Linked DNA regions of Caenorhabditis elegans. The protein of the gene in region 2 purifies or fractionates together with the protein of the main gene of each other region. This does not show direct contact. Each region holds a gene or a part of one and is shown on either strand. Other genes may lie near its edges.

What was found. Proteins that work in one complex are often made in the same cells at the same time.
Region 1: the proteins of Y60A3A.25 (region 2) and R193.1 fractionate together in Caenorhabditis elegans (co-fractionation; one large-scale study listed by BioGRID). This does not show direct contact.

What each region holds. Positions count from the first base shown.
Region 1 is NC_003284.9:1,153,143-1,156,158, forward strand, and holds R193.1 (uncharacterized protein), read left to right. Parts: upstream 1-1,805; coding exon 1,806-1,864; intron 1,865-1,967; coding exon 1,968-2,224; intron 2,225-2,271; coding exon 2,272-2,446; intron 2,447-2,494; coding exon 2,495-2,498; downstream 2,499-3,016.
Region 2 is NC_003283.11:19,990,190-19,995,940, reverse strand, and holds Y60A3A.25 (BZIP domain-containing protein), read left to right. Parts: upstream 1-1,747; 5' UTR 1,748-1,762; coding exon 1,763-2,005; intron 2,006-2,959; coding exon 2,960-3,098; intron 3,099-3,145; coding exon 3,146-3,286; intron 3,287-3,336; coding exon 3,337-3,410; intron 3,411-3,519; coding exon 3,520-3,921; intron 3,922-3,971; coding exon 3,972-4,070; intron 4,071-4,495; coding exon 4,496-4,663; 3' UTR 4,664-5,208; downstream 5,209-5,751. Other genes in the region: sri-67 (G protein-coupled receptor), read right to left, coding at 5,437-5,482, 5,600-5,751.

The DNA.
Region 1 (3,016 bases), on a different chromosome or scaffold from region 2:
TCAATGATAAAAGAATGATATTGATTACACCGATTGTTTCATGGATCTAAGGCTCGAAAATTCAAACCCAAGAGAAGCTGGAGTTGGCAGGCGAGGACCACATGGAGCACGATTCATGTACATTACGATGAGCAGTAAAAATGTGATGAGCACAATCAGAAGTTGAATAATCGCTTGAAAACGATAAGTGATTTGAATACCAATTTCTCCGACTTTTATATGCACAAATTTGAACTTTATCTTTGTTTCTGATCTGTTTGTCCTTGTTTTTCTGTTTTTTGAAACAGGTTTTTGTTTTTCGAAACAATTTTTTCGAAACAGATTTTCGTTTTTTTAAACAGGTTTTTGTTTTTTGAAACATGTTTTTATTTTTTGAGACTGTTTTTGAATGTTTTTTCGGCATCCACAGTTGTTTCTGCAACTTGAGGAGGAGGCATAGTCAGACCCGTAAATGTTAAATTTCGAGCTTTCAAGTCAATATATAGGTCAAAAAATTGAATTTTTTATACGTCCATACAAAGGTCCGAAACTTGAGGGGTAGGTATAATCACTCATGCAAAATTTATTTTTTAGGTTTTCACGTCAAAATATAGATCACAGAAAAAACTTTTTTGTACGTGAATACAGAGGTCTGAAACTTGAGGAATAGGTACAATCCGACACGTAAAATTTGTTTTTTAGGTTTTCACGTCAAAATATAGATCACAGAAAAAACTTTTTTGTACGTTAAGCTACAGTTTTGAAACTTGAGGAGTAGGTACAATCAGACACGTAAAATTTATTTTTTTAGGTTTTCACGTCAAAATATAGGTCACAGAAAAACTTTTTTTCTACGTCCATATAGAATTAACTTCATTTTGATACTATCAGCGGTTTTAAAACTATAAAGCAAAATACTGTTTCTTGGCTTTCACAAAGATGACAGCCCTAGTATGGACGTGTGAAACAGGTTTTTGTGACCTGTATATTGACGTGAAAACCTTTAAATTAATTTTCACGTGTCTTATTGTGTACAACCCTTAAGTTTCAGAACTGTAGCTTCACGTATGAAACATTTTTTTTGCTGACCTATATTTTGACGTGAAAGCCAAAAAAATAAATTTCGCATGCCTGATTGTACCTACCCCTCAAGTTTCAGAACTGTAGCTTAACGTACAAAATTTTTTTTTCTGTGACCTATATTTTGACGTGAAAACCTAAAAAATAAATTTTACGATGTCTGATTGTACCTACCCCTCAAGTTTCAGACCTTTGAATTTACGTACAAAAAAGTTTTTTCTGTGACCTACATTTCGACGTGATGACATAAAAATAAAATTTTACGTGCCGGAGTATGTATACTCCTTAAGTTTCAGAACACTGTATGGGCGTACAAAAAAGTTTTTTCTGTGACCTATATTTAGATGTGAAAACCTAAAATATAAATTTTGCATGCCTGATTGTGCCTACCCCTCAAGTTTTAGACCTTTGTATGGACGTATAAAAATTCAATTTTTTGACCTATATATTGACTAGACAACTGGAAATTCAACATTTACGGGCCTGATTATGCCTATTTCTCAAGATTCAGAAACAATTGTGGATGCCAAAAAAACATACAAAAAACTGTCTCAAAAAACAAAAAAATTGTTTCGAAAAACAAAAACTTGTTTCAAAAAACAGAAAAACAAGGACAAACAGATCAGAAACAAAGATAAAGTTCAAATTTTTGCATATATAAACCGAAGAAATCCGTATTCAAATCACTTATCCTTGTCATTCAAACTTCTGGTTGTTGCTTCTGCCGTTGTCATCCCTTACCATCTATGCTCTACAACACGTCTGCTCTCTGTGCTCCAAAACTGCCATCCATCGGATCTCCAATGTTCGTAATTTTTTGCAGTCATGTGAGAATGACTTGTGGAACCAGGTGTTCTTGATCCATGAAACAATTCATGGATGAACCGAAACTGAATTTTTTATTTCAGATCGGTCATCAAGACCGGCGATGTTGTTAGAGACTATTTTATCTGCGATAAGGTGTATCTTGGAAAATTCGGTGTAGAGACAGTGTCGGAAAAAGTCGACGGCGGTGGCGCATTCTCTCTTCAACTGTATCCGACGAACAACGAAATTTCCCGTGTAGCTGCAGAGAAGAAGGTTCTATGCGGACAACTTCTGACCGGCTTCCGTCATTGTACACAGTTCAATGAACGCTTCTCATTTGGAGATTACTACGTGATTGGTACGATTTTCGATGTCACTTCTTTCCAAATAATATTCCATTTTCAGTTTCTGATGAAATGCTCTCGATGGAAACTTATATGGAGGAGTATAACGTCAAGAAGCTTAGCTCCGGTAACGTCTGGCCATCGGGTGCGTTATGCTCAAAGGTCTTCATCATATTCATCAACTGGGCGTTACGCATAACAACTTGGCACCATCGTCTTTGTTTTTTGATACAAATGTTTGTTCACCCAAGTTCAGTATAGTTTCACAGTCATTTTTGTTGCAGTTGACACGCGTTAAAATCGGAGCATTTGATACTGCCACTGTTCACCCCTTGCCAAATACATTCCACCATTTTCTGCATCAAGAAGCTTTCAGTTCAATTGATGTGGCAAAAGGAGAGCGTCCGATGAAAAAAGACGATTATGAAAGCATGATCTACCTTGATTTCTCTGAGTGGTCTGGACATTTTTGACGGCCCTAAGGAGACGGTTTCGCAGATAAAAAGGGATCTCGTGAGTTTGTTTTTTTTTTCGGTCATAAATATTCAGCTATTTTTTTTTGCAGAGACGAGGTGTGATTTCGATTGATAACGGACTTGGTTTTCTGAATTTGATATGAAAGACTGCGGGAGAACATATTCTTCTTATGTAATGTGACAAACAAGTTTGGCTCGAAGGCACGAAATCAAAAGTATACAATATCAAATGACAAATAAATTACTGTAGAAAAGTTGCATGTATTTCTTTTTTGTTCTGCAAGGCTCCTTTGGGGCCTAATTTTTTGATACAATTGTAAATTTGGAAAT
Region 2 (5,751 bases):
CAGGTAAAAAGTAGTACCCTCAACTCAGAGAAATGATCGAAAAATTAGTATTGTATTACAAGCGATAATTAACACAACTTATGGTACTTGTGTATTACATGCCCTGATTTTTAAATTAAATTTAATGTTCATTAATTTCTCCATTTGAATTAAACGTGATATACATTTTCTCTTTTTAGGCTTAGAAATTGGTAATTCCTAAGCCTAAAAATGCAAAAGTGTGGTTCACGTTTTTATTTCGCATAACTTAAAAAATTACTACTAAAATGAGGGCATGTAATACACAAGTACCCAACTTTTTTTTAGACTTTGAATGTTCTGCGCTTTTGGTTAATAAGAACCAATATGGAAGCTACAATAGTCGTCTTTATTTACATTGTTATTTACAGGAGGTGCGGTCCACGGCTGGTACAGAATATTGTGCTTTCTCCTTATATGTTATGTTAAGTACAAACTTTTTTGAATTGAGTGGTGGTTACCAAAAAAAAAATTATATTTTTGTCAGAAACACGGAAAACAATTTTTATCAATTTTCATCATTGTCATCGCATCTGTTGCCATTTTCTCCTCTTTTTAACTCATTTATTACTTTCCCTATCAATTTTTCCGCTGGCTATTTTCTATAAAATGTATCTACATTATTATGATTTTTTAATTTTGAAAAAAAAATATTTTTAAATTCCCGTGCAAATGAGTGACGTCATTTTCGACATTTTTTTGGTGTATATTAATGAAAAATAATTTGTTACATTTTCAGATTTTTTTTGCATTAAAAATAGTTGAAATTAATTTTGAATAGTCGATTTTTGGCCCAAATTCAGAGTTTCGTTAAATTTATTTCCCATTGCCAAGTGTTCTCAACGGAATGATGCCTCAAAAATTGACAAACTGTGTTTCAAATTATAAGCCGGAAAACGAAAATATGTCAAAAGTGACGTCACTCATTTGCGAGGTAATTCAAAAATAATTTGGCCCATTCTTTAAATTATGCAAAATTAAAAAAAATGTTATCAATTTTTTATGGTCATATTTGGCCAAAAGGGTCTATTTTGCTGCAACATTTCCATTTGTTCTCTTATCAGCACTCTCTCTTTTCTCAGATGTCAATAGTTGTCGCCTGTCTTTTCTCTCTAAGTTTCTCTTTTGAGTTTGGTTTTTTTCCTCCTTTTTTTAATTGCGATGTCATGTTCATATATTTTTGCTTCATACAAAATATTGTGTTTTCTCCTTAAATATTATGCTAAAGGTGGAGTAGCGCCAGTGGGGAAATCGTCAAAAAACCACTCCTTTGATCCCAAAATGACCAAATATCATGATAAAACTTTTCAAAAAAATTTTGAAAATTTTTATTTACTGTCAAAAAGTGGCAATTACTCAGTTTTTGCCACTCATGATTTTGGAAGTCGACCAAAAAAAAATTTTCTTCGACATTTTTTATGTTTTAATTTTGTTCAAATTGTTTGTATTAAAACATTGTAGGGGTCGAAACATGCGATGTTCCTTTAAATTTTCCCAAAAGCTCGTATTTTTCAAAAAATTTTTTGAGTGTTCTACATATTATGAGCTGGCGCTACTTTTTGAACTTTTTGATGGTATTCATCCAAAAAAAAAATTATATTTGAGGTTTTGAATTTTAAAACTGGAACATATGTTTGTGAAATTCAAGCTTATCAAAGAAGTCTGTTGATAATTATTACTTTTTCTTTATCTCCACCAACTTCCAATAATAGAGCTCTCCATTTAAGAATTTCAGCACTGTCAAATGTTTCCGAGCACGTCTCACCGATTCATTGATGCTGGCACATCTGGAAATGCCCAACGAAATAACAAAGAAGGATCTTCACATAAATTACCCAGTCTTGAAAGTTGGTTTGGAAAGAAAACAACATCAGAAGCCACAGCCCAGAACCAAATTGTTGGAGATAATCCACAGAACAATTCGGTTGGGAACTACTTCAATCAGAATTTAAACGAGGATCATCATGATCACCAGTTTGCGCAGCAGGTTCGTGAACTTATTATCTTTATAGATAAAAAACAGTTAGTCTGTCCGGAGCTTGTAGTATATGTAGTCTTTTTAGTCTGTGACGTCACACCCAACTTCACCAAGAGTTGACCCACAAGTTTTGGCGGGAATTCGAATTTTCTGTGAAAAATTTTGGCGGGAATTTAAATTAAAAAAAAAAAATTTCTGAAAAAACTTTTTTCGGGAAATTCGAATTTTCTTCGAAAATAATTTTGGCGGAAATTCAAATTTTCTGAGAAAAATTGTGGCGGAAATTTAAATTTTTGTGTGAAAATTTGTGGCGGGAAATCAAATTTTTTGTGAAACAATTTAGCGGAAAATAAAATTTTCTAGGAAAATGTTTGGCGGAAATTCAAATTTTCTTTGAAAAATTTTGGCGGGAATTCAAATTTTCCGAGAAAAATTTTGGCGGAAATTCAAATTTTCTGAGAAAAATTGTGGCGGAAATTTAAATTTTTGTGTGAAAATTTGTGGCGGGAAATCAAATTTTTTGTGAAACAAATTGGCGGGAGGTCAAATTGTAAGAGAATCATTTTGGCGGAAATTCAAATTTTCTGTGAAAAATTTTTTCTGGGAATTCAAATTTTCTTTGAAAAACTTTGGCGGGAATTCAAATTTTCCGAGAAAAATTTTGGCGGAAATTCAAATTTTCTGAGAAAAATTTTGGCGGAAATTCAAATTTTCGGTGAAAAATTTTGGCGGGAATTCAAATTTGTTTTGAAAAATTGTGGCGAACATTCAAATTTTTGCATGATGTCTACGAAGCTGTGGTGTGGTGCGGGCGGGCGGGAGTAGCGTCCTCGTGGAAGACCTACTTACGACGTTTGATATGTATTGGGAACTTTAGGCATTTAACTGCGAAAGTTTGAACAATTCTTGTTCAAGATCTAACAAAACGTGTTAACCCTAATCCCTCAATACACATTTTTTCAGAATCCTGACAATGCTCTTGACAATTCACAAACTTGGCACAATCTGGACAGAATACATCAAAATTTTCAAACAATGGACATGCAACCATATCAAGAGTATCAGGACAATAATGAGTCGGGCTGGGTGGATTTGAATAACGGTACGCTACTATTGCCCTGGCTACTCGTGTATGTTCTCGTTATTCAGACAACCAATTCCAACAACCCGACAACAACGACCCAAATGCAAATGACCTGAACTTATGGAATATGGAAACTGGTCCGGGGCAAGTCTTTGAAGCGCCAGTGCTGCCAGCTATACCATGGAACAATGACGACAATTTCAATGGTAAGAATTAACATTTAAAATCTGGTTTCCAAAAAACCCTAACTTTACAGACAATTTTACCGAGGACGACGCGATTTCACAGATCTCATTTGATAGTGAAATCAAGAGTGAAACTGATTCAATGGTAAGTTTTAACTCGCATTTTATACCTCAGGGAGATTAAATTGTGATTGGAGTTCCTTCCATGTCCATATAACTTTTTACGTACTACAATACTATTTAAAACGTTTCAGGTTTCAAGAAAACGAAAAAGAAACAGAGAAGATGCACAGAATTCTTACGACAAGAAGAAACGTATCCGGGATGAGAACGAAACGTTTTTCAAATCACAGAAGCTCACCCATGAAAACCTTCTAAACCAGAATATCTTGAATGAAGCACATTTCCGAACAGCGGTCAAGCTTGTCCTTCGTCCCTGCTTCTCAAATCTTCGCATCATCAAAGTTTACTACACCAATTGTAGTTCAGAGCAAGTTTTTCGGTGCCTAGCAGATTTTGAACGTGATAAAGCAGATATCATCACTGAAAAGGATAACTTGAAGAGACGTGATATGAATCTGGCGAAGCTGAAAACAAGAATGGATGAAACTGAAAAAGTATATGACGATGCTCAGGCTGATCTTGACAACAAAAAGGTGAGTAGATGAGAAATCTATGAAAACATTTGCATTATTTAGATTTTCAGGTTGGAATTCCCCCAGGTACTTTAGCAAGCGGTTGTTTTCGAGCAAAACAGAAATATGAGACGGTGGCTTTTGAACACGGAGCAGGTGAACTGCAATATGTAAGTGAATTTATTGATAAATTGGCAATTTCATTTCAATGGAAAATGTAACGGTTTAGGGTTTCTTCTTAATTAATCAGATAAACTCAAATTGTCTCCATTAGGTTAAATTTAATCATGTGGATTTTAAAACAGGTTTCTGAAAATATTTTAAAGCTGACAGAAAATAGACCCTGATAACCGAATATAACTGTACAAAAGTTCGACAAATTGAGCTGGAAAACGCGAAAATCTCAAAAATGACGTCACTCATTTGCGCGGAACTTAACTTTAATAGAGCTGTTTTTTTTTTTGAAAAATTTTGAAAAATCATAAAATTTTAAAAAATTAAATTTTTTTAACAGCTATATTCGGTTATCATGGTCGATTTTCTGGCATTTAAACCAAAAAAAAAAAGTGTTTTTTCTAACACGCTTTTTTTTCAGGAGTTTTCAAAACAATATCGAATTGCGTCGCGTCTGACTGCATACGGTGGTTGGTTTTATCCGGATGCTCGAAATCTGTTACAACACAATTGGCAGTTTTTATGTGATAACGCAGGACCTGATATTGAACAGTTGAAGGAATTGGCAACATTTCTGGTTACACGATAAGCATCAAATGTATTGATAATCCTCTCACCTTTTCCGATTTTTCAAAAGATTTTTCAAATTTTCAAAAATTAGCTTAATAATTTGGTCATTATTCTTCTTCTTAGAAGAAATTTTAATGTTTTTTCTTATCAATATAAACAAAATTAGATAAAAATTCATATTTTATGATTATTTTTCGATTTTTCGATTTTCAAAACTTCAGAAATCGAAAAAAAAACGATAAATCGGAAAATCGAAAAAATTTGTCCTGTTCACCATCCACAACATATCTTCTCTTAAACTCAAACTTTCATGATACTCGCCTTTTTCTTTTTGTACATCAGCATCATCACTGCAAACTAATTTGTTTCATATATGTATATATATAGATCTATTGTATGTTTATTTAAATTAGACATTTGGTTATAGCATTCTGGTCAGTAAAATGCATTTCACGAATATACCCGGAGTAAGGTTGTTGGTCGGATTTGTCTGGTTGTAGATACCCGTGAGGTTCAGTGAAATCAATATTATACATGTGTTGGTTATATGAAATGAATTTAAAAAAATATGTATTCAAGTTGGCATAACAGCTGGAAGCCGTGTAATTTTTCAGCTGTCGAAAACTTTGGGTATAAAATTTCAGAAAGAAAAAATAAAAAAAATAAACGTCGTTTAATTTTCAGAGCATACATATTTAATTCTGTCATATCAAATGAAAATCATCGAGAAAAATTTTAAATCAATGTTAACATTTTTTTCAAACTTTAGTTATAAAGAAAAATTTAAAGAATTTATCCGCTCTGTGAATGCACATGTACGGAAATTTGTCGGCGATTTCTGAAATTTTATCCCAATTAGCATAATTTGTATAAAACTAGTATGTATTAGTTTAAAATGCAATCAATTTTGATGGCTATCACAGCCAAACAAATAAAAAAAATTTCAGGACCTTACCTCTTAAAGCTTTTCTCCAAAAACCTGCGATACGGCGGTGAGAATATGAGCAACGATATAATATTAGTAGATGAATGACATGAGAACACAACTAACATCAGTTCAGCTATCAATTGTGAGTGCTCCAATCTAAGAGCCAAGGCGAGAGCAAA